Drosophila melanogaster: one gene and its partner. The protein of the gene in region 1 interacts with the protein of each later gene in a pairwise test. Each region holds a gene or a part of one and is shown on either strand. Other genes may lie near its edges.

Region 1 (3,567 bases):
AGGGTGTGCCGGCCGATGCCGTCGCTCCTTGCCAGGCTCAACTGTACGCCGTGCAACCGCGTCCTGTTCTTCGTCATCGGGGTGGGACTGGGCGTGCTCTTCGTGCGCAACAAGGACGACAAGTCGGGCGGCAAAAAGAAGGACGAAGGCAAGGCCAAGAAGTAGGACTGACCGATCTGCCATGCCCGGCGGTAATATCAATCATCCAAGCCTGGCACTAGCTAATTGAACCTGGACTCATCATCACCCATGAAGTTACCCAACCGTTTGCAGCGTTAGCCAGGGAAGACAAAATGCCATTCGATAAGTTTGTCCGCCGATGAATGGAATGGAGAGGAAATTTCTCAGTCGATAAATTTATCTAAAGAGCAATTTGTCAATCGAACAATTAACTGCCACATTTAATACAGGTTTATTCGATTGATCTATTCTCTATTATATATTCCTCTGTTGAAAATGCTATAAAATTGGTGCTGTACAAGACTTACTGTGTTTTTAATATGGGCTCATTATTCAAATCTGTGGGAGCAATTGTTCGCTAAATGTTTGTAAATAGTACTTTAGTGACATGATTTGATTATTTCATTAATCGTCCTGTAACAAAATTTGCAGAGCACCTGATCGACTTCCTTATTGATCTTGATCAAGAAACGCGTTCTAATTCTTTTTCTTTTAAACGAAACTACGAGTAACGAGTTATGAAAATGAACATCGAATTTACCGATAACTAAGTGCCTATTACAATTAAAAATTGCAATCTTATGCTTTGTATAATAATTAAAGTCTGATTGACCAACCACAAATATTCTCAAATTTTTGTTGAATAACTTTAGATAAATTTACTAATTTTGGGTCCTTGCAGAGGGCAATACATTTGGTGTGTATTCATTGTACAATTTTTAATAGAATATCAACGTATTAGAAAGCCTTAGCGGTAAGAACATAGATCATGATCATATCTCAAAATCATCACGAACCCAAAATGTAAATTTCAATTTTCGGGTGATGTATAATTTTAAGCCTGATATGGTTATCCAAATTTCGCAAAGGCATTTCCTCTCTCCAGTTAAATATCCCATCCGATCTTGTTACTTGATCTGGAATTATAAGGGTGGACACTAGATAGTAAATAAAGAAGCCTTCCATCAACGCGGCAATGGACTGACCAATAGTTATCGTTAGGTATGCCATATAATGCACTTGAAAATTTTGAAGTTTAGAAACGATATGGATTCGATGAGAATTTTGGGGGAAAACATCCTGCTCCTTGACATGTCCGTTTGGGGGTCTATAGTCGTTACTTGCCCTCCTTGCCCTTCTCTTTGCCCTTGGCCTCCTTCTCCTTCTTTTCCTTCTCCTTCTTTTCCTTCTCCTTCTTCTCCCTCTCCTTCTTCTCCTTCTCCGCCTTCTCCTTTTCGGCCTTCTCTTTTTCCTTCTGCTTCTTCTCGCGCTCCTTGGCCTCCTTCTCCTTCTCCTTGGGCGATTTCGCGGCCTCCTCGGCCGCCTTCTGGGCCTCCTTCTTCATATGGTCCCAGAATAATCCGATGCCCGCCCCGATCATGAAGAACACAAAACGGTTGCACGGAACGCAGTTCAATTTCTGCCACAAGGTGGGCGGCGGGCGACAGGGAGGCGGTGGCGGAGGACAGCATCGCGGAGGCGGGGGGCAGGCGGGCTTGTCGCACATCTTCAAAGGATTATGGATTAGATGTCCGCGCAATCACAGGGTCCCTCTAATAACGTGTTAATTTTACGCCAAAAAAAAAATCAGAAAAATGATGTTAGCCGAATGGGAAATTTAGAACAGTGGGGCCTGTGTTGCCTTTGGATGTGAGTTAAGTATTTGACGTTTATTTCGTAAACTACTTGATAAAACCTAACACTCATTATGCCTAAGGTTTAAGATTACACCAGTACTTTCTTCGACCGCAATCCTTTCAAAATGGATCCTTCTTTAAGCATCCTATCTTCTTCTTTATAATGTCTAGGCTAAAGTCACAATCCTTTTTTCTAATACATCTGAAAAACAAAGCCAAAAACAAAACGTTATGTAAAATGCATTTTTCTAAAATTAAAATCAAACTCCTTAGTCTCTATTTCATTGATAGTATTGTCGCTTTAAAGTGCAAAATTCTAAATTAACAATTTTTTCAAAAAGACCTAACAAAAAGTACTGATACTTTAGGGCTGAAAATTATGGATAACTCGTGGTTCATCACTTTTATTGTAGGCTGTATTGTGGGGTATTTGATAGGCAAGCATAATTAGAAAAAGGTAAGAGCTCCTTTGCATTTGTGGTAGGCTTTTTCAAACCACTCAATTTTAGTTTATTTTAGGCTTTACAAGTTCCAAACCCACTACTTTCGTTTTATAAAATGGATGTAGATTGGGTAATTACATTTCTAGCTGGCTGTTTGGTGGGATACGTCGTGGCCAAGAATACCTGAGGATAGGCAAGAAATCTTTGGGTAAAGTTCGCCTGAAATCTTATGCCATCCTGAAATTCAAAATCCCGACTGGACTGGATTTTGATTGGGAAGATAACATTTGGTATCAAGCGCTTGAAATCATTTTCTTACTTTCGAAACCTAAGAAAAAATCAAAATGACGCACGTTATATCCTTCGCCTTGGGCGTGATTATCGGAATGATGAGCTGCCGAAAGTGCTAAGCCTAAGCTCCCAAAAAGAAAATTATAACTTAAATCAATTATGAGGAACATTGCATATATTAAAATGAACAATAAATAAAATTTAAACTTTCGTATTCATTATATTTTTGGAGAATTGCTTGAGAATGGAAGATTTGCAAGCAGTACAGCTAGTGATGTAGCATGCAGCAAGCTCAGTGCCATAGCAGGCAGAAAAGGGACTGGAAATTGGGATTGATTTTCTCAATGACCATTAAGTTAATCAATAAGGTAATCAATATTTTCGTAAGCATTGCTAAACATGAATACTTATTCATTACCGTATCAAATAAGTTGGCTTTTCTAGTAAAGTCAGCTCATAACGTATTCGTTTTGAACTATTTAGGTCGCTCGAACACCTAAAATTAAAGTTATCGGCGGAAATGGAATGGATTCTAATCTTTATTATTGGCTGCGTTGTGGGTTATCTTATATCGCAGAATACATAGGAGCCGCTTTAGAAAATTCTTTCAGCAAAATTATGAAGGTAAATTACAATAGAATCAAGTACGCTTGGTTTTTTCCATTATAATAATGTGCTTCAAATTAAAGTAATCAGTTTCCCATCGACAGTCAGAACGAAGTGTACGTTTTGTATGCTCTTAAATAAGACAAATTTTCCGTTAATATCTCGGGAATTCAAGTTTCATTAAAATATGCAGCGGTTTATAACATTCGTTGTTGGTGGCATCGTTGGTTTCCTCATCGCCAAGAATACCCGCGTAAGTCTCTGTAAATTCCATTCGTTATCTTGTGATATTCAAATTCCCTTCCTTAGTAAACACAATCATGTCCTATGTAATATGCTTTGGGATGGGCATGGTTTTTGGCATGTTCGTATGCCGCCGTTGTGAACCCTGAATAGGAGGAACCCACGGA
Region 2 (2,820 bases), on another chromosome or scaffold:
AACATTTATCCTATGTGTATAAACTGGAATCCGCGAGCGTCTTCCTTTGAGTCTCCTGCGGATCTATCGGTATCGAATCCAGAATTCCTCACCGCATCGTTGCCCCAATTATTTCTATCATTGCCACTGTTATCCAACGATTCCAGTAGCTTCAGAGTCCTATCGTCATCAGAACTGTGAACACTATCGCTCCAGTCCAAGTTGCCACCTGAAGATCGTGTTCTTCCTCCTTCGCCACCGAGGTTTATATTCTGAAATATACCCGATGCACCGATCGCGGTATAGATTAATCCAAACAGCACCAGCAGTCGGAGAATGGATTGCATTTTTCTTTCGATTAGCTCTGGCTACAGTTGACTGAATGTCAGTCGGCTCTTGAGCTGGGCTTTTATAGCCTTGCCCTGGGTTATCAGCAGTTCTAAGTGGTTGGTTTAAAGGTGATATGTATACTTTTAGACAGAGGTGAGTGCGGGAAATTCCAGCTTAACAGCAACACAGCTTACCACAAGCTTAATTGATATACTAAACGAGCTATTAAATTCAATCTATGACTAGTATTTAATGCGTACTTAAAATCGAAATTGCGGAGTAGGCAACATTCATTATCAAAAAATGAAGATCTCTTGATTCTCTCTTGATTGATTTCATTTTAAAATTTCTAAAAACTTTCTTTTATTTCCCTTAATAATTATTATTGAAGAACTAGATTATTTACAGACAATAGGATAGCATGACTTAGCATTACAGCACTACTAAATAATTCCATATTAAGTAGCCGGTTCGGTGGTAATATCCATAAAATCCAAAGTCGTCTCATCGTCATCAAGACTTGGATAGTCAGTTGAGTTCTCATGAGCTGCATCGTTCTCCTGCCAGCGTCTGATCAGCTCGTCCATTGCATTCATGAACTCTTCGGCACTGTTGTATCCACTGCCAGATTCCTCCAAAGCATCATTGGTACCTTCCGGATCTTCAATAAGGTCGTGCGGATGGCCGGCAATTAGAGCAGCACAAATGATTCCGAATAGGAGAAGCAATGATATGATGCGGCTCATCATGCTGATCAATGCACCGCCGGCAACTGCATAGCCAGATGCAATTTCTTTCGTTTTTATATGGATCGTGTCGGTCAGTAATAAGTTCAATGGAATTCTGGAAAATCCAGTCTGGGCTAAGCCCAAGTGGCAAGCTGCTTCGATTTCCTCATTCATATTTATGCGTTGGGCGGTACTAGAGTCCCCTCTGAATCATCGCAGACCCAGCAAGAGCAAGCATTGCGCATACGACACGTTGCCACTTGCGGATCAACAGTCATGCAAATAAGTCTATGATTAATTCCAAATAATTGCTATGTCTGTTGAGAAAATTCTCGGCCATGCCAATCATCTGTCAGTTACTAGAGTTGTGTTAGTTAGCTGGGTAGTCAGAAAATGTACTCTAAATAAGGGATTATAAACTTAGCAAAGCGACTGTATTTCATCTTTCCTTGTAGGCCGATGTGAGTGCTGCCGGCAACCCTTAAATGACTTGGCTGCCAGCATCGAGCACTTTACTCCGCTTCGTTGCCTCAATCCTTCGTTGGCTCCTCCGGCACTTTATTCAATTTTCCAAAGCGCGCGCACTCAGCTGCCAGTACAACCTCACTTTGCCACCCCAAAAGACGGGAGCCCATCCACGAAAACCTGTGGTAAAAACATGCAATCTACTCACGAGGCTAATGCCCTTTTATGGCATTGGAGTGTGCCGCATCAGCAAAACGGTGCTGAATCGTTGCTGCTGTAGCTGCAGCATTCAACCATCTAACCACCATGCGAACAACACCATTAGATGGGCCACCAGACTCGATTCACGGGGGCTGCAGCTCATTATCCTCCGGGGAAGCAGACGCCCGCCCATTCACCGAATTGCTGGTGGACTTGTCTGCAAATATGTCGCTCATTTGCATCGCCATCATTGGAGTCTAAGACTGCGCCATTGAAATCAAAGTAAGCTGTTACACGGATCGTTTTTAGTCATTTCTAAAACGTTTCAGAAAATTCTTTATATAATATAAAAACTCTGCTGGCAACTGAAATAATAACCACAAATATGTTTTTAATTATTTTAATATCCTCAACTTCAATTCTATAATTAATGTATATTTTAAAAAATTTCAAACTTTTTCTGATGCTTTTGTATATTATGTCGACTTGCTAGCAAATGTCAGTCATTTAAAAATCGCCGCATACCAGCGGCGCAACAAATCAAAGTTGGTTTTGAGTTTTGTTTAGTGGTTTTTAAGCCGACATGAATACCCACTTCTAGGTGTATAGAACCTTAGCAAGTGCCATTAAAAAGATACAACTGAAATAGCCCAGGCACTCCGGCATAAAAGTACGACAGTCAGTCAAATTAACATTTCAGTCACACAATGACCTTCACCTAGAAGCCATCAAAGCGTACCCAAACGACGGCCCAGCCCTAGCCCCAAATCCCCTGGCTTCACCGGAGTCCAAAGCCAAAACCAACTTCAACGCAACGCGACCAAATAACATAAAAACCAAAGTCAATCAAAAAAAAGAGGAGGAAAATAAATATTTTTCAGCCAATGTCTAAATACCCTTTTCGAAGCTTCAATGATCAATATCATTGATAATACTGAAGTTGTAAAAATAACTCGATTTTAATTATGACCAAAAATGACATCTAATCGTTTAAATTTTCTTCATATATACCTTAAGCTTGTGGGTATATTTTTCAGTGTTACAAACCTCTTTCAAAAATCGAAGAACCCCCTGGAAAGGTAACCACAAATATATGAAAAACGAGACAAAGTCAAAG

Evidence for each region.
Region 2: the proteins of CG46298 (region 1) and CG16978 interact in a two-hybrid assay, tested with the Drosophila melanogaster proteins (one large-scale study listed by BioGRID).

What each region holds. Positions count from the first base shown.
Region 1 is NT_033778.4:10,351,636-10,355,202, reverse strand, and holds CG46298 (uncharacterized protein), read right to left. Parts: upstream 1,836-3,567; 5' UTR 1,688-1,835; coding exon 1,298-1,687; 3' UTR 1,167-1,297; exon of another isoform or gene 1,098-1,166; 3' UTR 814-1,097; downstream 1-813. Other genes in the region: CG12902 (uncharacterized protein), read left to right, coding at 1-165; CG43201 (uncharacterized protein), read left to right, coding at 2,197-2,268; CG43171 (uncharacterized protein), read left to right, coding at 2,376-2,447; CG43178 (uncharacterized protein), read left to right, coding at 2,605-2,670; CG43200 (uncharacterized protein), read left to right, coding at 3,072-3,137; CG43172 (uncharacterized protein), read left to right, coding at 3,345-3,410, 3,467-3,469; CG46305 (uncharacterized protein), read left to right, coding at 3,478-3,549.
Region 2 is NT_033779.5:13,142,540-13,145,359, forward strand, and holds CG16978 (uncharacterized protein), read right to left. Parts: upstream 1,084-2,820; 5' UTR 1,059-1,083; coding exon 768-1,058; 3' UTR 675-767; downstream 1-674. Other genes in the region: CG9928 (uncharacterized protein), read right to left, coding at 6-326.